Linked DNA regions of Sus scrofa. The protein of the gene in region 5 purifies or fractionates together with the protein of the main gene of each other region. This does not show direct contact. Links are inferred from orthologs where the notes say so. Each region holds a gene or a part of one and is shown on either strand. Other genes may lie near its edges. The genes, in order: FAM129B, SLK, MAP1LC3A, GABPA, KEAP1, IKBKB and RBX1.

Region 1 (3,500 bases), on a different chromosome or scaffold from region 5:
TATCACCACGGCCGCTCCCACTGCCTCTACGGTCAGCAGCCACCACTAGCTGCGTGTTCATCACATACCAGGCACAGGGCCCCACGTGCTTCACTTCACAGAGTTCCCATGATCCAGAGGTGGGGCCCATTCTTAGCCACAAATTCACATAGTTGGGAGGCAGCCCACCTAGGACGTGAACCTGGTCTGTCAGCCTCTAGAGCCCAGGGTCTCTGACCCTTAGGAACTGTCCACTAACTTCCTAGGTTCTGAGCACCACACAAGTGTTCTCCTTGGGAGGAAGTTAGGTCTGGGCACTGCTTTCTTACACCAGTGGGGAGAAAAAAATGGTTCTGATGTGGGAGCTCATACAGCATGGCTGCCATGCTGCACCCTGCCACTAGGTGTCACTATTCAGCACTTTTTTTTTTTTTTTTTTAGGGCCACACCTGCGGCAGATGGAGGTACCCAGGCCAGGGGTTGAATCAGAGCTGTAGCCTCCAGCCTACGCCACAGCAACTCAGGATCTGAGCCACATCTGCGACCTACACTACAGCTCACGGTCATGCCAGATCCTTAACCCACTGAGCAAGGCTGGGGATCGAACCTATGTCCTCATGGATACTAGTCGGGTCTGTTACCCCTGAGCCACGAGGGGAACTCCTCAGCACACTTCATGAGGGGTTGGCACCTCCACCACCATGATTTTCCACAGCAGCAACAGCACCCTGGCACGTGTTAGAAAAACAGATTCCTAACTCTACTCCAGATGTGAATCAAACTCGGGGCGGGGAGCTCCTGCTTCTTAACGAGCCCTCCAGGTGATCTTGGTGCTTGAGAAGCACTGCCCTGGGGCCTTAGATGACTTCTGACTCTGCTCATGTTACTGTAACAGGGATTTGCCTCCAAACACAGGGCACTGAAGCCTGTCCTTTGGCTGCTCTGGAGAACTGTTTGGTCGAAAAATTGGGGTCTGTGGCTCAACCAGGTGGGCTTCACCAAGGGCCCGAAAAGCAAAGGAACAATCAAAGGACATAGCCTCCCATTGCAGGGCAGGGGGTTGCGGGGGAGCCAGTAAGGAAAGAGATAGGACCGCCACCCAGGGGTCATCTGAGTGGGGACTGGCCAGCGTGCTGTGGCTACTGAGGAGCGAGGGAGGGGGCTGGGCGGAGGAGAGCCCTGGAAACGGAGCCATCTCGAGGGACCTGGGGTGGGCGGGGGTCCATGATGAGCTGCTTACAGAGCGAGAGGCAGAGTGAAGGGTGACCCCAGAGAGCTGGGTGTCAGGATGGATGAAATGCCACTTAGAAGGAAGGTTTGGGGAGGCAGGAAGGGGGTCGGGGAGGGTGCTGAGATTCTGTTTTGGGCCCTGGCACCCGCCAAGGGAGGGCGGAGGTGTGGAGTCTTAGATTTAGGGGCCGGGGGACCGGGGGAAGAAGCAACCTGCCGGGCCCAGGAGGAGCTGGAGGCTCCGTGCGGCCGGGCCGGGGGCCTCACCACTTTGTTCTCGTACAGCACCAGCCCGTAGTTGTGGGGCACGAGGCTGAAGCGGTTCCTCCACTTCTTGTTGTCCTCCTGGTACTGGAAGAGGTTCCCCGAGAAGATGATGCGTTCCTCCAGCGGCACCTGTGAGAGGGGAGGGCCAGGGATGAGGCCCAGAGTGCGAGTGGGGGGTCCTCCGAGGAGGTGAAGCCTGGGCGCTCACCCCCTGCTGGGCACACCCCACCCCCACCTCAGCGAGCCCCCTCACCCACCTCCGAGGCAGGGCGGCATCTCACCCCTCGGGCAGATGAGGAAAGTGAGGCTCGGGCAGCGAAGGGGGTCCAGGTAGGGCAGGGTTGCCGGCATGTGCACCCAGGCCCAGCACCACAACACGGGACTCAGACAGGACCCCACTCGGTCCTGGCCCCAGGCAAACAGGGAGCCCAAGCCACGCTGCTCCCCCATCCACCCCCACTGCGGCGTGGGTGGTCGCTCCAGCCGGAGGGGACATGTCCACGACCCAGGACTGGGAAGACCCCAGCACCTGAGCACTTCTCTTCCCAGCTCAGTCTGGAGGGTTCCCACTGGACCTGCAGCCCAGACCTTCCTGCAAAGCCCTCGCTTCGACGCTCCCTCTGACTCAGTGTGACTGTCACAGCACCTCTCTGGGCCTCAGTTTCCTCATCTGTACAAAGGGAGCAGTGACGGCACGGACCTCACCAATGTCATCTTGAGCAAAGGGGACACCGCTGGCACCTGGCAGGCAGCACGAGACTCGGGGGCCCCACGACCACGACCCACTCTGGCGCTCCTGTCCGTCAGTCTCCGGCTCCTTGGACTGACTTATTTCGGGAAGGGGAGGGGGTGGCCGTGCCTGAGAGCGTGCTTCCTGAGCAGACAGCACCAGGAAGCTTCAGGAAGGAGATGCCAAGGCCACGAGGGAGCAGACTTACTCCTGGACGGGAGGAAGCCGGGGGGTCAAGCTCCTGTTTCTCAGCAGCTTCTAACTGTCCTACAACAAATAGGGTGGCTTTTGCAAAAAGAAACACGTCTCATATGTAATAAAGGGAGGAGGGATTATTTTAGTGGTGCCCGACCCTTCCAAGCTTCCTGCCTGGCTTCTGGGTCTGCAGGGCAGCAGGAGGCAGAGGTGGGCGGCCCCTCCCAAGACTCCCCCACCCCCACCCCTCAGCTCTGTCTCCTCACCACAGCCTCCCGCCACTCTTCAAGGGGAAATGCCAAAACATTCTTGGAAAATGAGGGCCTATTGTGCTCAAACAATGAGACCCGAAGACTGCTTCCTACCCGGGGATAAAAATATTTACAGGAAAAGAAAATGGTTCCCCTACCAGGAGCCCCCCTCCCACCCCCAGTGGGCTTTGCCCAAGTCACAGAGCTGGGCTCCGTGGTCTATATTTAGACTGGGGCCTACTCTCAACCCAACTCTTGAATCCCTGGCCCTTCTAGAAAGAAAGCAGAGCTCTCACTACGCCCTGGTCAGACCCTCGCTGCCCCCAGGCCCCCGGGTCTGTGGCCGCCCCTCTGTCTAGAGCCCGAGCCCAGGGCCCAGGCAGGCCTTCCCGGGGGAAGGCCCCCCAAGTCCACCCCCAGGCCCTGGAAGAGGCCCGCAACGGGTGGCTGGTTGTGGGTTTGGGTTTTATTTTTAAGGCTTTCAAACGGCAGAGTCGTATTTCCACTGGAAGCCCTGCAGGAAATGAAACGGAACCCGACAGCCCAGGCCAAATATTTTGGACTCTGCAAAGCTCTCGGATGCCCCGACGGGCCTCTTGGGTGGGAGGCGAATGGCTGGAGCGCGGGGCCCCGGGGCTCCCGTCCCGGCTCCACCGGCCGCCCCACTGGAGCCCAGACAAGCGACTCCCTCTCCATGCCTCGGCGTCCACCCCTGTGACAAGGACATGCTCTCAACCCCTCGGAGCAGTGTCAAGACGGCTGGAGGACCAGCGCCCACGCCACAGGATGGCTGTTTTCCCTAGTTCTTACTTTCAACTAATACAGTTGTATTATTATTTCTAATAAAA
Region 2 (3,500 bases), on a different chromosome or scaffold from region 5:
GTGTATATGTGAAATATCTCCAAAACATTGCAGAGATATACCTTGGAAATTATTTGAATGTTTTCCTTTGCTAGAGTGGTAGAGGGAAAGATAAAGTTGAGGTAAATAAGAGAAAGATGCTTTATAAAATTGAGAAATACTGCAAGAAGTAGAATTCTTTTATGGCAATAGAAGTGAATATAAAAATAATCCTTAAAACATCTTTCTGTCCAGATGATGCTGGAGATATACCTAAATAATTTTATGTACTCATTATGCTTTGTGATATTGGTATACTTAGTTGGCTACATGATAGAATGGAAATTTAAGCACTTATTTCCCCCTATTAAAAAACCTTTGATTTTCTTTTCTGTTCTTCTTTTTTTTTTTTGGCTGCACTCGTGGCATGTGAAAATTCCTGGGCCAAGGATCGAATCCACACCACAGCAGTGACCCAAGGTGCTGCAGTGACAATGCCAGATCCTTAACCTGCTGCGGTAGAGGAGATCTCCTTTTTTTCTTTCTTATTAAGATGATTAAATGTAATTTTGGTATTGGGAGTAGGACATTCTCTTTATAGGACATTAGAATAGAAGGGATATTATGTTTACATTGGTAATACTTCATTTATAGTTCAGAGTGTAATGTGTGTAAAAAATAGTGTATTAGAACACTTTTGTGTGAATATTAAAATATAACCCAAAGTACATTAGTAAAAGGAACAAGGTAACATTTTGAAAATTACTTTCTTCTTGTAGCTCGAGAAGCTGCGATTTGGGAGCTTGAAGAACGGCACTTACAAGAAAAACACCAGCTGCTCAAACAGCAACTTAAAGATCAGTATTTTATGCAAAGACATCAGCTACTTAAGCGCCATGAGAAGGTTAATGAAAGGAAAATTTGTTCACTTTTTGTTCATTTTAAAGTTTGCAGAGCTATTTATTTCTGAAATATTTCTTAGAGAATAAATTTTAGATTTCCTTTCTTTTATCCTAAAATTTCTTTGATGCAATTTGGAGTAATTACTTGTATATTGATCATGACTGTAAATTTCTTTTCTACAAATTCCAAGGAAGGTAACTAATTACAATGCTTAAAGACCTATTATACACTATAATCTTTTTCTTGTCTTTCAAAAGTAGCTATTTTAGCTCCATTTATAGTTCAGGTATCTTAAAAATGTGGACTCATACTTAAAGAAAGTCAATATAAGACTCTTATTACTAATAGTTCTATTTTTATTATAAATTATTTTTTTGTGTAATATTTTGCTGGTCAGTATGCAACAAGAGAGAAAGTCATTTGGGGAAACAAAGGCAAAATGTTATTTTTAAGCATACATGTGGCTACTGAGTATTAAATTTTATCATTGTCACTGGATTCTGTTTCAAATTTTCTTAGGAAACAGAACAAATGCAGCGATACAATCAACGACTTATTGAGGAATTGAAAAACAGACAGACTCAAGAAAGAGCAAGACTCCCTAAGATTCAACGCAGTGAAGCGAAGACTCGAATGGCCATGTTTAAGAAGAGTTTAAGAATTAACTCAACAGCGACACCTGATCAGGACCGCGACAAAATTAAACAAGTAAGTAAGCAAATTGCTCTCTTCTCTTTTAGGTTTGAAATTTTTAGATGGCCTTGCCACACTGTTTTGATTACTGTGGCTTTGTAGTATTGCTTGAAGTCTGGGAGAGTTATGCCTCCGGCTTAGTTTTTGTTTCTCAGGATTGCTTTGGCAATTCTGGGTTTTTTGTGGTTCCACATAAATGTTTGGATTGTTTGTTCTAGTTCTGTGAAAAATGTCATGGGTAATTTGGTAGGGATTGCATTGAATCTGTAGATTGCTTTGGGTAGTATGTTGGCCAGCTTTTTAGTTAAACATATGGTCTCACTATACTTCTGCAGTCACAGGGCCCACATAGAAATTAACTGAGGTCACTAAGTAGTTGGGAGGTACAAGGATTTAATCAGAAGTCTCTCCCTACCCCCGACCAAAGCCATGATGTGGACTGCCATTTTAAATCCCAGAATATTATTACTTGGAGCTTTAGTTTATTATACTTTAAGCTTTGTTAAATTCCATAATTATACCTCTGGAACATGCAGACATTATATTATTTGTTAATCATATTTATCTTTTGTTTTTCTTATTTGTAGTTTGCCGCTCAAGAAGAAAAGAGGCAGAAAAATGAGAGAATGGCTCAGCATCAAAAACATGAAAATCAAATGCGGGATCTTCAGTTGCAGTGTGAAGCTAATGTCCGTGAACTGCATCAACTGCAGGTTAGATCCAAAAGCGGGAACACAAAGCTGGTCGTAGATGCACAGCACAGATGACCGGTTTTGAGGAAGTAATAGCTACGCAAAGTAAGCTGCAGCTTGCTTGTGAAGGCGGGGTGATTTAAAGGTCTTCTTTCTTCTGCAGACCCAAATGAAGATCAGTTGTTGAGATTTTATATAACTGTGATTAATGTAAACATGAAGCTAATTTATAATCCAAGAAGTGGAATTTTTCAAAAGTACTATTGGGAATTTTTAGTGTATTTTGCAGAGAAGATGAACAGAGTTTTTTTAAATGATGAAGGCAGTTTTGTTAGATTCTAAATTTAAAATTTCTTTTTATCTAGGGAGAAAGAATTCATTTTCTTCAAAGTTTTTGGAAAAAGGGATAATTTCTCCTAAGGAATTTAAACATTACTTTAGAGAGGACTGTTTTTGAACCTTACCTAAGTATGCAGCCCGTCTTATAGACAGATAGATAGACAGCCTAAACTGTTTACAATTTCAGAGTAGTGTCTACATTGTGGATATTCTATGTATTTGCCTAATTTACTAGAGCAGAATGACTTCTTGGGGTAAAATCCTTGAAAGGTGCCCTCTCTAAGTAAGGTGTGTCAGTTGTGTAAGTAAACCTTCTTAGAAAGGGAAATCAGGCTCAAACTAGTTCTTTCTATTCAAGATCTTTTCATGTGGTAAATAACAGATCTAGCCTCTAAACTTGCAAAAATAAAGCAGTGACTCATTTCATAATTCTTGGCCCTTGATTTTTAGAGGAGAATTTCAACCTCAGTAATAGCCTGATGTTTGATGAGTACTTTATTATTTTGAAAGATAATTGTGTTTGTGAAAAATTGACAACTTGATCTGAAATGTTTTTAATCCAAACTTAATTTTCAGAATGAAAAATGCCACCTATTGGTTGAACATGAGACTCAGAAACTGAAGGAGTTAGATGAGGAACACATCCAAGAATTAAAAGAATGGAGAGAGAAATTGAGACCTAGGAAAAAGGTAATTTTAAAAACTTTAATTAAGATATGCTTGTGAAGTTCCCATCATGGCTCAATAGTTAATGAACCTGACTATTATCCATGAGGATGCAGGTACCATCCCTGGCCTTGCTTAGTGGGCTGAGGATCTCGCGTTTGCCGTGAGCTGTGGTACAGGTCACACACGTGGCTCGAACCCTGCGTTGCTGTGGCTGTTCTGTAGGCTGGCAGCTGCAGCTCTGATTAG
Region 3 (3,641 bases), on a different chromosome or scaffold from region 5:
GCTATGAATATATCTTTTGGTTAGTTTTTCTCTCATATACTTTTTCCCATCTTTTTACTTTTGATTTCCTTAGGTTTTAAATGTCCTCTTGTAAACAGCAGAGCTGCATTTTATTTTTCTTGGCCAATTTGTTCATCTGTTTTAACAGGTGAATGTAAAACATTTAATACCTCTGGTTTTGTACCATTTATATACCATTCTTTTCACTTTGCTTTCCCTTTTCTCTTTTTCTATCTATTACATTTTTTTAATACCCTTTACTAAACTTTTCTCTTTTATGCATTGACATATACTTTCTATTCTTTGAGTGATCCCTCTGAAGTGTTTGAAATACATACTTGACTATACAAAGCCAGGTAATTATCAGTTAGCTTTATCCTCTTCCTCTCCAATAAATCAAGCTTCTTAAAACACTTGACCTCTGACCCCCCTCCCCAGTCCTACATGTGCCATGCTCCTGTGCTATGCTCCAGACTCATCAGCACCATTCTTGTTCCACAGCAGGTGTTTGTTTAGATCCACTTCCCATTTTACCAGCTTAGTAGCTTACCATTTTTCTAATTTCTTCTCCTTAGAGTTGGGCAAATTCACTACAGAGTGTCTAGATGAGTTTTTATTTATTCTGTTCTGGATGTTATATGAGGATCCTGGTTTTTAATCAATTTTGGAAGTTTTTCTCCAGAGCTTCACGGTCTTTTCTCTCCTTCTGGAATGCTAATTAGACCTGTGAATTCTCACTTTGCCATTTCTGTCACTTATTTTATACCATGTAAACATGGTTTGTTTTCCAGGTAATTGCTTCTGCTCTCTCATCCACTTCAGTGATTTTCTTTTTTGCTATATCTAACAGGGCTTGCTTGCCTCGTCCTTCTGAGACCTGAATTTCAGTAGCTGTTTTTCAATTCTAGAAATTCCTTCTAAAACCTCTAGGTTCCTTTTCAGTGTCTTGCTGTCTTCATGTTTTAATGCTCACCCAACCCCCCACAATGACCACTACCTTTTTCTTTCTCTAACCATATGCTCCAGGATGAAGACTTCTGGTTCACTGTTGTCATCCCCAATGCCTCATACGGTCCCTGGAACAGAAAAGACTCTGAGCGAGGGCTGTCTGACGCCTTGGTTACAGTGGAAACAGAAGGATGCTATGCCGCAGCCTGGCCAGCTCTCCCCACCGCCAGACCAGCCAGCCTGCTCCCTGGCCTTGCTGGCGTCCATTCTCCCCTCACCCTGGGCCTGGGGGAGCCCACCTCGCCTGCCCCTGCACAGGCCGTGACGTCACAGGACTGTGACGCTCACTGGGCGCCTCCCCTCCTTCGCAGTGTGGGGTTGGGGGTGGGGGCGGGAATGCAGGCTCCCTGCGCCGTGATGTCACGGGCCCGGGCGGGCAGATTTTGCGTCGGCCCAATGGGAACGGCGCGCTGGCCTCCCCTTTAAGGAATGTTATGACCTGACGTCACCCGGGCGAGTTACCTCCCCGAGCCGCCGCCGCTGGGCTCAGCGCGAGCCCCAGAGCCCTTGAGCGGGAGACGCGGAGCCCCCGGAGCCCCCAAACCACAGCCACCTCCCCGCCTCGCGCGACCGGGAGCCCCGGCCTGCGCGCTCCGCCGGGCCTGTGCGATGCCCTCAGACCGGCCTTTCAAGCAGCGGCGGAGCTTCGGTGAGGCCCGACTGGCGATCTGCGAGCGCTAGGGGTGGGGGCGTGGGGGGGTCGGGGGTGTTGGCAGATCTACTTGTCTGCCGCAGGTGACGTCAGCTTCATGACGTCAAGCTCGGGTTGGACCCCTGGGCTGGGAAGCAGGCTAGGGCCTGGGCCCGGGCCTCCGCCTCCCATCCCAGTGCTGTGCCCCGGCCCTGGCCCTACCTCCACCCGCCTGGGGCTTGGCGGGGGGCGGGGCGGGGTCGGGGGCCGCCCCTCGGGGACTAGTGGGGCGGAACCCAAGGAGAACCTCGGCTGGCCTCATCCCCGACTGCTGTCTGCAGCCGACCGCCGTAAGGAGGTGCAGCAGATCCGCGACCAGCACCCTAGCAAGATCCCGGTGAGTCCTACCGCATACCCCGCCCCCGTCCCCTGGCCCCAGGTCCAGCCTCCCGCTCACGCGTCCCCGCCCCACCTCACTCCCAGGTGATCATCGAGCGCTACAAGGGTGAGAAGCAGCTGCCAGTCCTGGACAAGACCAAGTTCCTGGTCCCAGACCATGTCAACATGAGCGAGTTGGTCAAGATCATCCGGTGCGCTGGCAGCAGCTGTCAGGAGGGGGACTTGGGTCCTGCTGGGATCAGGCATTGGTCTGGGTCCTTCTGAGAAGGAAGGGGTGGGGGTGGGACATGGGACGGGGTGCCGAAGCCCTCTTCTGGGGAGGTTGGGAACGGTCAAGGTCAGGCCTGGGATCAGTATCTTGTCAGAGGTGAGAGCTTCTAGAAGGGGCTGGGATGGGTGTGAGGGGGAGAATCAAAGTCAGGGTGGGTAGGGGGTGAGGGCTACACTCACCCAGCGGCCAGGCCCCTCACGTTTGGCTTGCCCTCCCGCCCACCTCAGGCGCCGCCTGCAGCTGAACCCCACGCAGGCCTTCTTCCTGCTGGTGAACCAGCACAGCATGGTGAGCGTGTCCACGCCCATCGCGGACATCTATGAGCAGGAGAAGGATGAGGATGGCTTCCTCTACATGGTCTACGCCTCCCAGGAAACCTTCGGCTTCTGAGCCAGCAGTAGGGGGTGTTGGCTGGGAGTCGGGGGCCCTGTCAGGCTCTGCCCAGGGAGCTCCTGGCACTGGAACTAAGCTGTCTCTGCCCCTGCCCCTGGTGGGTTGGACAGGGATGCTGCCACCCAGCCAGAGGGCACCTATCACCCCTACTCTGCCCCTGGATGGATTCTGGCCCAGTCATATTAGGGTTGCCCCTCCGGGTGCTGGCTGGGAGGGGGAAGAGTGGGAAGCAGCCCCCAGCACCCCTGCCCTGTGTGGTTTGTCTTTTTTTTAGACCCCTGCCTGTCTGCCCACCTGTCCCTCCCCAACCTGAGGCGCTGCCCATGCCTGGATCTGCCCACCCCTGAAGGACTGGGTCCTGGCTCACCTGGTCTTGACATGGTGTATGGCTCTGTGGTCATTGTCCCTTTGCAGAATAAAGATTGCTCAGGCCTGCCTGGCCCTTTGCCTCCAGCTGCTTGGGGAGTGGGGAGGGCTGTGGGTGGGGCTGCCCCCACCGTTGTCCTCTCACTGGTGCACAGACTTGTGTGCTGTGGACTCAGGGCTCATTCAGGAAACCCACGCCTGTGTATAGTGCATCGTGGGGGTACTAGAGGCCAAGCCCACCTCTTCCACGAGGGCAGCATGGTTCCAGGTAGACGTTTTCATAACAAAAGAAACATTTATTAAGTAGCCACAGCCTAACAAACCCTGCTCACCTGCTTCTTCCCCTTTCCTGCTTGGGAGGGGCTCCTGGTGTGCAGAGCCACACAGTGGGGGCCAGGTGGAGACTCCTGGCTCCGCCCCACAGGCCTTGCTGCCAGCCTTGGCTCCTCACTGGTGCCAGATATTCATGACCCTGGACTCAAACCTCATCTGCCCCAGGGCTTGCCTGCTGGCAACGCTGGCTAGAGGGCTTGGCCCAGCTTCTGGGCCTTTCGCCCCCTGAGGTCCGTGCAG
Region 4 (3,500 bases), on a different chromosome or scaffold from region 5:
CCAAAAAATGGATGCCATGTATATGCTTGTCCCCTCTTAGCTCATTTCCAAATAGAAGATGCATGCCTAAATCACACCTGGAATCCTGTCTGCAAAGCAATCTAGTCTGTGTAGCTTAGCACAGAGAGAGGAATTTGCCAAGGGTATGGAGTGACCCAGTGAGCCATATCTCTCACAGTGTTTTTACAAATCTGTGTAAGTACACAAGATAGAAAATTAGGAAACCATTTTTGGTACATTGAGTTTTAGTTTTTTAAAATGAGCCTTTGAAATTTCTGACTGGAGTTTTAGACTGATTTTAATCTCTGAATGTATTATATTGCTGACAATTATGTTTCTCCAACCAAAGTTTTGTTCAGATTATGAAAATGGTAATTATCCACCTTAATTTCCCCAGGATTTACTGTTGTTGGAAATAAGAAAGAAAATCAGTCTTTTTTTCTATCTTTAAAAGCTTAGTGACCTCTCAATTCAAGTGCGTTTACGAATGGTTGACGAAATTTGAATGGAGGTTTAGGGGAAATTTTTTTTTCTGAAAAATTATGATTTTTTTTCATGTATATTTGAAAAAAAGTGATTTCTTTTATATTACCTAATAAGTGATAACAGTATATTTTCTTATAATACTGGTTCCACAATTGAATTGAATTGTTTTTATGATTGAACTTCACAGTATTACACTTGAGTTTTGTTTTTTCTTTCAAAGCACTTAAATTAACTTTTGATACAGATTGTAACTGAATCAGTGAGCAAACATTAGCTGTTAAGTTGTATGATAGTTTCTTAGAGCTGTCATTTTAACCTAAGTATCTGAGGTTATTTTGTAAAGAAGAGTTTTTTCTCTTTTAAATATCCTAAGGATTTGGGTTTTTCTTCAGTCGAAAATGAGAATTTAATGATGTGAATTTAACTTAAATTCAGTGTCTTTATTTTCAAAACATGTACTTTGTTTCCTTAAAGGAAAAGCAGTCAAGGAGTTCCCGTCGTGGCTCAGTGGTTAACGAATCCAACTGGGAACCGTGAGGCTGCTGGTTCGATCCCTGGCCTTTCTCAGTGGGTTAAGGATCCGGCGTTACCATGAGCTGTGGTGTAGGTCACAGATGCGGCTCGGATCCTGTGTTGCTGTGGCTGTGGTGTAGGCCGGCGGCTACAGCTCCAATTAGACCCCTAGCCTGGGAACCTCCATATGCCGTGGGTGTAGCCCTAGAAAAGGAAAAAAAAAAAAAAAAAAAGCAGTCAATAAATAATTTTAGTTTGCTTAGAAAGACTTTTTAAAGTTCTGAAGTTAGGTAGCTACTCATATTTGCCCTCTCTGGTTTAGTTTTTATTTTCTATTCTACACTGGTACTTTTTTTACTGGTGTTTGTCAATGGGGTGTGTATGTATGTGTGCATGTGTGGTGGTGGGGGTCTTAAAGTGTTTTAGACGTAGAGAAAAGTTGCAAGTGTAGTAAAAGAGTTGTTGGATGTCCTTCGTCCAGCTTCCCCAAATGTTAACTTTCATTACACTTGCTTTATTCTCTCTCCCCTTCATCCTCACATTAGTTTTCTGACGTGTTGAAAAATAAGATACTGGAGTTCCCATTGTGGCTCATCAGGTTAAGAACCCAGTGTAGTCTCCATGAGGATGTGGGTTTGATCCTTAGCCTCGCTCTGTGGATCAAGGATCTGACATTGCCTCAGGCTGTGGCATGGGCTGCAGATGCAGGTTGGCCTCCATGTGGTCATGGCTGTGGTGTAGGCCTGCAGCTGCAGCTCCCTTTCGACCCCTAGCCTGGGAACTTCCATGTGCCGCAGGGGCAGCTGTAAAAATAAATAAGTAAATAAATAAAAGTAAAATAAAAATAAGATTCAGACACAATCTCTTTAGCTAAATACAGTGGTGTGTGTGGTTTCCAAAAACAAGGAATTTTTTTTTTTTTTTTTTTTTGCAGCATATGGAAGTTCCCAGGCTAGGGTTGAATCAGAGCTGTAGCTGCTGGTCTATGCCACAGCTACAGCAACACCAGATCTGAGCCACATCTGTGACCCACACCACAGCTCATGGCAACACTTGATTCTTAACTCACTGAGCGAGACCAGGGATCGAACCTGTGTCCTTAGGATATTAATCATTCATTTCTGCTGAGCCGTGCCAGGAATGTCAAACAAGGAATTCTTTTATATGATCACAATTATCAAAATAAGGAAATTAATGTTTATATAATACTGTTATCTGATCTACCAAAGTTCTGTTGAATTGTTATTTTTATCATTTAATAGAAATCTGTTAAGGAGTTCCCATGTGGCTCAGAGGTTAACGAATCTGAGTAGCATCCACAAAGACATGGGTTCGATCTCTGGCCTCTCTCAGTGGGTTAAGGATCCGGCGTTGCCAAGAGCTGTGATGTAGGTTGCAGATGCGGCTTGGATCCTGAGTTGCTGTGGCTGTGGCGTAGGCCAGTGGCTGCAGCTCAGATTCGACCCCTAGCCTGGGAACCTCCATATGCTGCGGGTGCAGCCCTAGGAAGATAACAGATTTCTCATTTTTTTTTTTTTTTCATCTTTTAAGTTGTCTAGACATAGTGCCAAGAATATTTAAAATGGGTTTTGTTCTACCATTTGAGAATGTATGAACACATAAACTAATCTAAATGTTGTTAGTGACTTTCATTCATGTTCTGACTTAAATATGCTTTTTTATTTTCTCTCCAATTTACTATTAAGGAATCGAACCAAAGCTAAACATCCTGGAAATTGTTAAACCGGCAGAAACAGTTGAAGTAGTTATTGATCCAGATGCCCACCATGCTGAAGCAGAAGCACATCTTGTTGAGGAAGCTCAAGTGATAACTCTTGATGGCACAAAACACATTACAACTATTTCAGATGAAACCTCAGAACAAGTGACACGATGGGCTGCTGCACTTGAGGGTTATAGGAAAGAGCAAGAACGTCTTGGGATACCCTATGGTAATAAAATACATAATAATGATGTTAGGGAGAATAATAAGAATTAAGCTTGACATAGAAAACACTAGGGTGAGTAAGTTATCTATTTTAGATGCAGGATATTTAGGTAATATATTGATTTTCCTGTTTTTTTTTTTTTTTGCTGTTGTTTTTTTGGGGGGTTTGGGTCTGTATATGTGATGGTGCTGGGAATACAAACATACTAAAAAAATTTTGCTCTCAAAGTGTTCACAGTGTAGTTGAAGAGCAAGAAGATAGATGAAAGGAGATAATTGACATAAAGATAACATGTTTTTAAGCTATCAATAACCGGTATAAAGGAAACTGAGAATTACAGTCTCAAAGGGATCATAATGGCCTGGGCGCAGGGCGGTGGGGGGAAGTTGGGGGTTTATTATAGACAAGGAAACTGTTGGGCAGAGGACGACCTTCCAGATAGGAAATGTATGTGCAAAGCTGAGACGTGGGAGTATGCTGTGCGTGAGCATGAGAACATACAGTGAGTGGGGAAGGATTATTCTGTAGCATTATAGAACCGTTTTTGATTGA
Region 5 (3,035 bases):
CCATAGGATACCTGGCATTGGTGGGTTTGGAGTAAGGCCAGGAGTGGGAATTTTTAATACACGCCTCAGACAGAGGGCTCTAATGTACATAGTCTTTGAATAGGACAATAAGATGATGCATCACCCTCAGCAGGCCACTTTCAAGATAAAAGGGGCCCTAGGAATTATTCTAGGAGCACAGGCCTGAACTGAAAATGCCCCAGCCAACTGGGATATATGGTCACTCCATCTTTGACCATCATAATTTGAGAAGAACCATGCCAGGCTGTAGCCATGTTGTTAGAACTGGGGTTCTAGTGTTCAAGAAGGCTGGATCACACCCCAGCTCTGCCACTTCCTTGGTGACCCTGGGCCTGCCACTTCACCTCTCTGTGCCTCCGTCTTGTCATCTGAGAAGTAAGGGACGATCATGAGGACTGACTTCGCCACCACACTGGATGGTCTTTGGTGAGATGACACACGTAACACTCAGTACAGGGCCTGGCGGTGTTGTGATGGAGCCATTGGGGTCCAGCAGATGTACGTGTGACCTTGAGCAGATGGTGGCTATGAACCTTAGTTCTCTTATCTGGAGAAGGGACCTACTGATAACTTGTGCCTGAGGGAATCCTTGTGAGGATTAAAGAGTTCAAGTGCCTGGAGGCCTAGCAGAATCTAAGTGTGGGGGGGTCAGTGTTCCTGGTTAGCAGTGGTTGCTGTTGTCACTGTTATTATGTCCTTGCAGGTATGAACCCGAGCGGGATGAGTGGCACTTGGTGGCTCCAATGCTGACGCGAAGGATCGGGGTGGGAGTGGCTGTCCTCAACCGTCTGCTCTACGCAGTTGGGGGCTTTGACGGGACAAACCGCCTCAACTCAGCAGAGTGTTACTACCCAGAGAGGAATGAGTGGCGAATGATCACACCCATGAACACCATTCGAAGTGGGGCAGGTGGGCGGGGGCTTCAGGGAGGGGAGCCAGGAGACACACCCTCTCACCCCTAGGAGTGAAACTTGGCCAGGCCACTTGTCTCAACCTTGAACCCTGTGGCACACACAGGAGAGCTAGATTCTGAGAGTCCAAGCTCCTCTGTCCCAGCTTTGTTTTTGAAGGTTTCCTCAGAAGAGGGGAGAAGGGAGAGGGAAGGGAGAGGGGAGGGTCCCCCCGACCCGAAAAGGTGGTGGCCGGGGCACCCTAGGCCAGGCCCTGGAGTCAACCTCTCTGTGTGGTGTGGTTTAGGAGTCTGTGTCCTGCACAACTGTATCTATGCTGCGGGGGGCTACGATGGTCAGGACCAGCTGAACAGTGTGGAACGCTACGACGTGGAGACAGAAACGTGGACTTTCGTAGCCCCCATGAAGCATCGGCGAAGCGCCCTGGGGATTACTGTGCATCAGGGAAGAATCTATGTTCTCGGTGAGGCCCTGGGAGTGGGAGTCTGGGTGGAGAAGCCCATCTAGCCTCATCTTTTAGGGGCAGGCTCAAATCATGGTGGGAAAGAGTTCCATTTGTGGCTCAGTGGTAACAAATTCGACTGACTAGTATCCATGAGGATGCAGGTTCAATCTCTGACCTCACTCAGTGGTTTAAGATCCGGCTTTGCTATGAGCTGTGGTTTAGGTCTCAGACATGGCTCGGATCCCGTGTTGCTGTGGCTGTGGCATAGGCCAGCAGCTGCAGCTCCACTTCGACCCCTGGCCTGGGAACTTCCATATGCTGTACCTGTGGTGCCCCCACCCTCAAAAATCCTGGTGGGAGGCTTCTCGTGGTTTCTCCCTTTCCCCAGCCTTCGGAGGGACTGACCATCCCTTTTACTCTTCTGGCAGGAGGCTATGATGGTCACACATTCTTGGACAGTGTGGAATGTTATGACCCAGACACGGACACCTGGAGCGAGGTGACCCGCATGACATCCGGCCGGAGTGGGGTTGGTGTCGCCGTCACCATGGAACCCTGTCGGAAGCAGATTGACCAGCAGAACTGTACCTGTTGAGCCACTTTTGTTTCTTGGGCAAAAAAAGGGTCAGATCAAGAGTATTATCACTTTTGTATCAAAACAGGGACAAAAGAAAAAGCTACAGAGCAAAGGCTTGTCCTCCAAGATAGGAAGCTGGGATGCCTCAGTGTTAAAACGACAACTCCAAAGGCCAGAGTGGGAACCTGTGAGCCTGTCAGAGTGGTCCCAGGAATGTCTGGGAGAACTTGCCTGGGAGGTGGGTGCAGGAAGGGCGGGCCCCCGGAGAGAGGCCCCCAAACCCACTACCCCAAGACTGGGCCTGGGTCCTACACCAGCAGCCACCACCTCCCTTTGGGATGAAAGCAGGTGCCGAGGACAGACTGTTTTTTTTTCCCTGCAACTCTGTGTTTGGTTCCTTGAGGCCTGGGAAGGAGCCAACTGAGGCCTCAGGGGCTGAGGCCCCTTCCTGCTTAAGGACCCCAGGGACGGGCCTGTACATAGAAACCACTGGATATCGCTGCCCTGGACAGTCATTTTGTTGATAAGTAACCCTGTAACTTTCCAATGAAAATAAAGAACAAACTAACTAGTGTCTTCCACTGGAGCTCTCAGCTGGAGGTCTTGAACCCCTGGGGGCAGAAAGGACTCTTCCTCTGAAATGTACTGAAGTCTTTGATTTAGGGCTTGGATTTGAAACCAGTTTGTTATCTCTGCCCATTGAACTTTTAAATGTAGGGCATCTTTCTCCCCATAGGCAAGCCACACAGGGCTTGCTTTGTCCATCACTTTTAGCTGCTTTAAAGACACCTACCTAACCCCTTTACACATCTCCTAGGGCTCCCTGAGGTTAATTTCACATATGCACAGTGTATATTTTCACAGTTAATTTTTTGGCCACGCCCTCAGCATGTGGAAGTCCCCTGGCCAGCAGGGATCAAACCCAAGCTCCTGTTGCAACCTGTACCACAGCTGCGGCAACACTGGATCCTCGCTGTGCCACACGAGAACTTCCTCACAGTTAATATTTTAAGGCAGACCATCCCCACATGCCTCCCAATTTGTTGAAAGTATCCTTATGCACTTAAGTAACATAGACTTT
Region 6 (3,500 bases), on a different chromosome or scaffold from region 5:
CTACACCACAGCTCACAGCAACTCTGGATTTCTTTTTTTTTTTTTTTTGTCTTTTTGCTATTTCTTGGGCCGCTCCTGCGGCATATGGAGGTTCCCAGGCTAGGGGTCTAATCGGAGCTGTAGCCGCCAGCCTAGCCAGAGCCACAGCAATGCGGGATCCAAGCCGTGTCTGCGACCCACACCACAGCTCACGGCAACGCCGGATTGTCAACCCACTGAGCAAGGGCAGGGACCGAACCTGCAACCTCATGGTTCCTAGTCGGATTCGTTAACCACTGCACCACGACGGGAACTCCTAACTCTGGATTCTTAACCCACTGAGCAGAGCCAGGGATCGAACCTGAGTCCTCATGGATACTAGTCAGGTTGGTTACCACTGAGCCACACTGGGAACTCTGGAAAAGCTAATTTCTGATATGCAAGCTCGACCCAGGGTTCAGTGAGAAAGAGGAAGATGGCAGTGAAGAGCCTGGTACCCTGGGCAGGGCCTCGGACCTGGGGGCCCTGCCTACCCGTCCGCAGAGCTCCACGGCCTGTTCCATCTCCCTCCAGGCCAGCAGCAGTTTGTCCGATGCTGGGGGAAAAAAGGAGGGAAAAATGAAAAACAAAATGAAAACACCCCCACCCCCACAATCCAAAACAGAGATAAGCAACTCAAATAGGAGAGGACAAAAGAAACCTCAGAAAAAGAAAAAAGAAAGAGACTGTCCCTCCAGACTTTTTTTTTTTTTTTAGGGCCATACCTGAGGCACATGGAAGTTCCCAGGCTAGTGGTCGAATGAGCTCTATAGCTACCAGCCTAGGCCACAGCCACAGCAGTGTGGGATCCTAGCTGCGTCTATGACTTGCTCAAGAACTCACGGCAACACTGGATCCTTAACCCACTGAGCGAGGCCAGGGATCGAACCCTCGTCCTCATGGATAGCAGTCACTTTTGTTTCCACTGTGCCACAACAGGAACTCCCCTCCAGACTTATTGTAAAGGGCACACTCACTGATCCCAAACTCTGTCTGCTCGCTGTACTTCTCCAGGTCAATCTGGATGCTGGTTTTGAAGAAATCAAGCTTGGCCTTGAGCTGCTGGGACATGGAGGCCATGGAGTTCTTCATCTTGGACAGGCAGCTGTTGTTCCGAAGCAGATTCATCCTGCAGCGGCCATGAGAAACGGAAGCTTGGGGCGCCTGTGGGATCTGAGCGCCACTTCCCGTACAATAACAAAATGACCCGAACACCACCAGCAGGCTCTGCTATAATTAGCATCATTATAATAAGAGCAGCCACTTATAACCATAAAGTCAGTTTCCTGGCTCTGAGCAACGCCTGGGGTTCTGCTTCAAAACTGGAACTAGGCAAAGTACACACAGAGTGGCCCAGAGAAGCCACATCCTGGGGAAAGAGCGAGCCAGTCCTGGAACGACGGCAGGGGAGGGCTGATGACCCAAACTGTCGAGGGCTTCCCGGTGGCCCCACTTACACTCCTGCGACTGTGCTGAGTGCACACACCCCACTGGGTCTCACAGGGCCTTCCTCAAGCATCCCCCTGACCCTCGCCGGGCCAACCCCTTCCCACCTCCCCCACCCTATGTCTCTCTCCCAACAGTTGGACCCCTGCCTTGGCCATTGCCCTGTGGCAGGGCCACCAGGCAGCTCTGAATAAGCAAAGCCCAAACCGTGGGCACGTACATGGCAGCACGCTGTCCCTGCTGCAGGCGGCTGCAGTCTTCCTTCAGGGCCTGGATGCTGTGCCAGACCTGGCCCCACACCTTCCTCAGCTGGAAAAACGGGAGGTTCCGCTTGGGCTCTTGCACTGGACAGAGACACATGACTGTCAGGGAGCCATGCCGGTGACACACCGCATCCTGCCTGCGGAGCCCGGCCACTGCCACGTCTACATCGCTAGGTTATGTAACCGCTCTGCCCTGACACGACTGTGTCGGGTATTAGGCTTGGTTACTGTCTCAGACACCCTGTGCCCTGTGCCATTTTGATTTACAGATGCACAGGACATGCGGAAGGTAGACCAGGAATCTGGGAGCAGCGGTTTTCCTGGAAGAGGCCACGGAACTGGGGAGACTGGGCAGGAGGTGGGGGGGCTTACTGTTCAGTGTATATTCTTTTTTTTTCTTTTTTGGCATATGAAATCCCCAGGCCAGGGGTCGAATCTGAGTGGGAGCTGACCTAAATCACAGCTGCAGCAACGCCCGGGCTAGGATTGAACCTGTGTCTTCACAAAGACAAGCCAAATCTTTAACCCATGGCACCACAGCAGGAACTCTCACTGTATGTTCTGTGCGTTTTGATTTGTTGGTATCACGTGAATGTTTCATCATTAAAATATAAAATGGGAGTTCCCATTGTGGCGCAGCAGAAATGAATCCAACTAGTATCCATGAGGATATGGGTATGATCCCTGGCCTCGCTCAGTGGGTCAGGGATCCAGAACTGCCATGAGCTGTGGCATAGGTCTCAGACATGGCGTGGATTCCGGGTTGCTGTGGCTCTGGCGTAGGCCAGCAGCTGCTGCTCCGATTAGACCCCTAGCCTGGGAAGTCCACATGCAGTGGGTGCGGCCCTAAAAAGAAAAAAAAACAAATTAAAAAAATGGCCACGTGATTCAAGTTCAGCGGCCTGTGGGCAGTATTCTCTGTCCTCTGTTTTTTTGTTTTGTTTTGTTTTTTGTTTTGTCTTTTTGCCTCTTCTAGGGCCGCTCCTGTGGCATATGGAGGTTCCCAGGCTAGGGGTCTAATCGGAGCTGTAGCCACCGGCCTACGCCAGAGCCACAGCAACGCAGGATCCGAGCCTCGTCTGCGACCTACACCACAGCTCACAGCAATGCCGGATCGTTAACCCACTGAGCAAGGGCAGGGATCAAATCTGCAACCTCCTGGTTCTAGTCGGATTCGTTAACCACTGAGCCATGACAGGAACTCCCTGTCCTCTGTTTAAATGAGGCTGAAATCAACTGAAGATCGATGTCCTTTCCTCTTCGCTGGGCCACCTCCTCATGTGTTCTAACAAAGAAGGCCTTCTGGATCCCTGACCCACTGAGTGAGGCCAGGGATCATACCCATATCCTCATGGATACTAGTTGGATTCATTTCTGCTGCACCACAATGGGAACTCCCATCTTCTGGCGTGGGGGAGTCCCGAGGTCCAGGGCTTATCTCAAGCACTCTAAGTGACTATTTTTTTCAAAGGCCATGCCATTCTTACGGATGCAGCTGACGCTTTCGGGCTGGGGCCGTGGGGAGATCTGGGTGTCATAGGTGACTCTGCTGTTGTCAAAGAGGAAGACGAGATCCATGTCCAGGGTGCGGCCCTCGTTCAGCTGCAGAGGGACAAGAGCAAAAGGGGCTCTTGGGGACCCATCTCCTCCTTTTCCCAGGGGCCAGGGGACAGGCTCCAGAGTGGCCCACCGGCATCGCCCTCAGCCAGCGCGGCACCCACAAAGCCTTCTTACTGACTTCGGACTCAACCCCCTTCCGCTGCTCCTTTACAC
Region 7 (3,500 bases), on a different chromosome or scaffold from region 5:
AATTACTAAATTTGCCAAATTAGGAGGAATCACTTGCATTTGGACAAGTCAGGTTATGTTCACAATTAAAAAGTGCCTTTTCCTTTGTTACTCCACTTGCAAACGAGGGTAGGAAGTTGTTGCAAAGCACACTGCTAAGTCGGATCTCTGCCTTTTCTAGTCTTTGCTCCTTTCCACATTCATTAAAAAACAATTATGACTAATTAGCCACTTGAGATTTTGTTCATGTTTCCGCCATCACCACCGCCGCCACCCCAGTCGTGTTGTTGTGCAATTGTGCAGAGAGGGCAGCTGTAGATGACAAGGTGGTTGCGCCTGGGTCCAGTGATCTCGTTGCTCTTGTTCCCACAGGCATAGAGTGTCAAGCCAACCAGGCGTCGGCTACTTCTGAAGAGTGCACCGTTGCGTGGGGAGTCTGTAACGTAAGGAAACCTCTTTCCTATCAGCATGGCTTGTAAACATAGTACCGCTTTCCCTGCTTTGCCAGTCTTTAAAATAAGAAAAATAAAATGATTCGTCCACCTCTCTCCCAAAAGGTACACAAATGGTTAAATAATAAAAAAGACTTTAAATCACTGTACTTTCACTTGTTACGAGGTAAAAATTACTAGTTATTGCAGAGTCAGTATTCATTCTAAAGGGCACCCACTTTTGTCAGCAACGTTCTCCTGTTAGTGGAGGTCTTTAATTTCCTTTTTTTTTTTGCTTTTTAGGACAGCACCTGAGGCATATGGAGGTTCCCAGGCTAAGGGTTGACTTGGAGATGCAGCCGCCGGCCTCCACCACAGCCACAGCAACTCGGGATCCGAGCCATGTCTGTGACCTACACCACAGCTCACGGCAACACCGTATTCTTAACCCACTAAGCGAGGCCAGGGATCGAACCTGCATCCCGATGGATCCTAGTCGGGTTTGTTAATTGCTTAATTGCTGAGCCACGAAGGGAACTCTGAGATCTTTAATTTCTTGAGATTTTTAAAAGGCTAGATGTCTTGTGGAACTAAGGTGAATAAATTGTTCATGTTTATGTGTGTATTTTAAGTTTGGCAAATGTACTAAGTTGGGATTGGGGTTATTTTCAATGTGGCTCATGCCAGAAATGTTTGTGCAACATCGTTGGACTGAAGGCCCAGCCTTCCAGGGTGTGACAGCTGTGAATGACAGCAAACACCAAGTATGTTATTTCCAGCAAGTGTGAAAAAATTCATTCTTATAGCCACGTAGTCCCAGTCATAGGAGCTAAATTTGTCCTGTCCGGGCATCCTGTGCCCAGGGGACAGAGGGCTCCCCGCCTGTCATAGGGCTAAGAAGACAGACCCCCACTTCCTGTCTCTGCTGCTTCAGGCGAGGTATTGGCCTCATTAAGCCTCGTGTGAAATGGAGCTGAGGGTCGGCATCAGGATGAACTGATTCTTAAGAAGTGCTTGGAGGGAGTTCCCCTTGTGGCTCAGTGGGTTAAGAACCCGACTACTGTCCATGAGGTTGCGGGTTTGATCCCGGGCCTCGTTCACTGGGTTAAAGAATCCGGCACTGCTGTGAGCTGTGAGCTGTGGTGCAGGTCGCAGACATGGCTCGGATCCCGTGTTGCTGTGGCTCTGGCGTAGTCCTACAGCTGCAGCTCCGATTGGAGCCCTTAGCCTGGGAACTTCCATATGCTGCAGGTGCCATAAAAAGGAAAAAAAAAGAAGAGGTGCGTAGAACACCTCGTGCATGTCGCGAGCGTACTTGTTAATAAGCTTAAAGTTGGGGTGGTGATCCTGAGGAGAGAGTCCCTGTCAGTCCTTTTCTCCCTCAGGTGGAAGCCCTGCCCACACCCCGTGGGCACCTTCCTAATGCCGGCAGGGCCCCTTGGCAGTTTCACATTAGCCCCTGTTGGCCAAGGGACAATGTCTGTCATTTATGGGGACCAAGAAATAAAGTCTCTCGGGTCTGTGTTCTCCATGGCATCCAGGCGTTTACTAAGAAGCGTGGCACTTTGTGCCGGAAGGAAAGAGCCTGCCAATAAGAGCTGCCAGGTGTGCTTGAAACATCTGGACTAGTCCCAGGTTCTAGTTCTGGGTCTTTTACTGACCACCCTGTGAATGAGGCAAGTTACTTAACTTGTCTGGGGTTCAGTTTTCTGTCTGTAAAATGAAGATAATAATACCTGTTGTGCTTGTTCGCCAGGGTTGCCAGAGGCTCAAATGAGGTCATAGATGTTTACAGGTCTCCCGTGAAGCGCTAGGCAGTGTATTTTGAGACTGCTCCATGCACCCATCACTAGGTCTTCGATTGTTAACGGGCAGGAGGCTGGGATCCGGGACGCTGAGGGATGCTGTCACTGGCCTGCAGCCCCTCTCTGCCTCCATCTCCCGAGGTGGCTGGGAGAGTGCGGCTGCGGGGTGCACGGCGGGGAGCCGGGGCTGGGTGGCCTGAGTGCGCCTGTCCCTGCCACCTGGGGACTGAGAAGAATGCCTCTGCTTTCTGCCTTTGGGAAGTTTTGTTTTTTTCCTCTTTTTTTGTACTGTATGGTCATCAGGAGGAGAGGGATCTTTCAAAAGGCTGTCAGCTCTGGGGGAGTATTTGTCCTGTTGGTGGCCCGGGTACTGGCTGTGGACTCCATGCTTCCCTACTGAGCTCTGCTTCTGTTTTGTCAAAGGACAGTTCATAGGTGATAATCCACATTATGATTCTTTAAGTTCCAGGCATGTTTTAAGAGACACACTGACCAGATCTCAAGACTGTTACTAGGAGTCCCTATTGTGGCTCAAGTAACAAGTCTGACTAGCATCCATGAGGACTCCAGTTTGATCTCTGGCCTCATTCAGTGGGTTACGGATCTGGCGTTGCTGTGAGCTGTGGTGTAGGTCACAGACGTGGCTTGGACACCGCTTTGCTGTGGCTGTGGCGTAGGCCAGCAGCTACAGCTCTGGTTGGACCCCTAGCCTGGGAACTTCCATATGGCTGCAAGTGCTGCCCTAAAAAGCAAAAAAAAAAAAAAAACACAAAGAAGAGAAGAGAGCTCCCTGCTGGAACATCCGCCATGCTTTCTAGTAATGACATTTCTAACAGATGTTTCATTGGACATGGCCTTGTACCTAACCAAGGTATAGCCAGTTGGGGCTCTTTTGTCTCCTGTTGTTTGTCACCGCCCGTTGTTCTCCAGCCCCGTGTGTAACCACCCTACTGCCCTGGAGATGAGATGGATCGTCAGTAGATAGCTGAGGCTGCACAGGATTATTTTTAATAAAATTTGTCTTTTTTTCCAGCATGCTTTTCACTTCCACTGCATCTCCCGCTGGCTCAAAACACGGCAGGTGTGTCCGTTGGACAACAGAGAGTGGGAATTCCAAAAGTAGGTGTCTCTGGCTGTTTTGACATTGTAAGGGTGGGTGTTGTGGTTGGTGCCATTCTTTGACTCACTTCAAGCTTGGCGGGCGCGTGGTCTTAAAAGATGGACACGTGAAACTTGCCTTGTTTCATAAACTAGCTCTTGGTTAGTTAGACAAGGACTCATCTAT

Evidence for each region.
Region 1: the proteins of KEAP1 (region 5) and FAM129B purify together in Homo sapiens (affinity purification with mass spectrometry; 3 studies listed by BioGRID and IntAct, with this or other methods). This does not show direct contact. The link is inferred for Sus scrofa from reciprocal best matches to the Homo sapiens genes KEAP1 and NIBAN2.
Region 2: the proteins of KEAP1 (region 5) and SLK purify together in Homo sapiens (affinity purification with western blotting; 3 studies listed by BioGRID and IntAct, with this or other methods). This does not show direct contact. The link is inferred for Sus scrofa from reciprocal best matches to the Homo sapiens genes KEAP1 and SLK.
Region 3: the proteins of KEAP1 (region 5) and MAP1LC3A purify together in Homo sapiens (affinity purification with mass spectrometry; 3 studies listed by BioGRID and IntAct, with this or other methods). This does not show direct contact. The link is inferred for Sus scrofa from reciprocal best matches to the Homo sapiens genes KEAP1 and MAP1LC3A.
Region 4: the proteins of KEAP1 (region 5) and GABPA purify together in Homo sapiens (affinity purification with western blotting; 3 studies listed by BioGRID). This does not show direct contact. The link is inferred for Sus scrofa from reciprocal best matches to the Homo sapiens genes KEAP1 and GABPA.
Region 6: the proteins of KEAP1 (region 5) and IKBKB purify together in Homo sapiens (affinity purification with western blotting; 7 studies listed by BioGRID and IntAct, with this or other methods). This does not show direct contact. The link is inferred for Sus scrofa from reciprocal best matches to the Homo sapiens genes KEAP1 and IKBKB.
Region 7: the proteins of KEAP1 (region 5) and RBX1 purify together in Homo sapiens (affinity purification with western blotting; 6 studies listed by BioGRID). This does not show direct contact. The link is inferred for Sus scrofa from reciprocal best matches to the Homo sapiens genes KEAP1 and RBX1.

What each region holds. Positions count from the first base shown.
Region 1 is NC_010443.5:268,024,523-268,028,022, forward strand, and holds part of FAM129B (niban-like protein 1), read right to left. Parts: intron 1,606-3,500; coding exon 1,477-1,605; intron 1-1,476. UniProt on the Homo sapiens protein: May play a role in apoptosis suppression. May promote melanoma cell invasion in vitro.
Region 2 is NC_010456.5:114,947,463-114,950,962, forward strand, and holds part of SLK (STE20-like serine/threonine-protein kinase), read left to right. Parts: intron 1-737; coding exon 738-862; intron 863-1,380; coding exon 1,381-1,569; intron 1,570-2,141; coding exon 2,142-2,267; intron 2,268-3,161; coding exon 3,162-3,275; intron 3,276-3,500. UniProt on the Homo sapiens protein: Mediates apoptosis and actin stress fiber dissolution.
Region 3 is NC_010459.5:37,956,365-37,960,005, forward strand, and holds MAP1LC3A (microtubule-associated proteins 1A/1B light chain 3A), read left to right. Parts: upstream 1-1,465; 5' UTR 1,466-1,617; coding exon 1,618-1,657; intron 1,658-1,980; coding exon 1,981-2,036; intron 2,037-2,122; coding exon 2,123-2,229; intron 2,230-2,536; coding exon 2,537-2,699; 3' UTR 2,700-3,141; downstream 3,142-3,641. UniProt on the Homo sapiens protein: Ubiquitin-like modifier involved in formation of autophagosomal vacuoles (autophagosomes). While LC3s are involved in elongation of the phagophore membrane, the GABARAP/GATE-16 subfamily is essential for a later stage in autophagosome maturation.
Region 4 is NC_010455.5:189,303,013-189,306,512, forward strand, and holds part of GABPA (GA-binding protein alpha chain), read left to right. Parts: intron 1-2,705; coding exon 2,706-2,951; intron 2,952-3,500.
Region 5 is NC_010444.4:69,280,441-69,283,475, reverse strand, and holds the end of KEAP1 (kelch-like ECH-associated protein 1), read left to right. Parts: intron 1-724; coding exon 725-930; intron 931-1,218; coding exon 1,219-1,395; intron 1,396-1,805; coding exon 1,806-1,972; 3' UTR 1,973-2,535; downstream 2,536-3,035. UniProt on the Homo sapiens protein: Substrate-specific adapter of a BCR (BTB-CUL3-RBX1) E3 ubiquitin ligase complex that regulates the response to oxidative stress by targeting NFE2L2/NRF2 for ubiquitination.
Region 6 is NC_010459.5:11,331,834-11,335,333, reverse strand, and holds part of IKBKB (inhibitor of nuclear factor kappa-B kinase subunit beta), read right to left. Parts: intron 3,330-3,500; coding exon 3,215-3,329; intron 1,809-3,214; coding exon 1,685-1,808; intron 1,148-1,684; coding exon 996-1,147; intron 575-995; coding exon 513-574; intron 1-512.
Region 7 is NC_010447.5:7,504,865-7,508,364, reverse strand, and holds part of RBX1 (E3 ubiquitin-protein ligase RBX1), read left to right. Parts: intron 1-351; coding exon 352-422; intron 423-3,248; coding exon 3,249-3,334; intron 3,335-3,500. UniProt on the Homo sapiens protein: E3 ubiquitin ligase component of multiple cullin-RING-based E3 ubiquitin-protein ligase (CRLs) complexes which mediate the ubiquitination and subsequent proteasomal degradation of target proteins, including proteins involved in cell cycle progression, signal transduction, transcription and transcription-coupled nucleotide excision repair.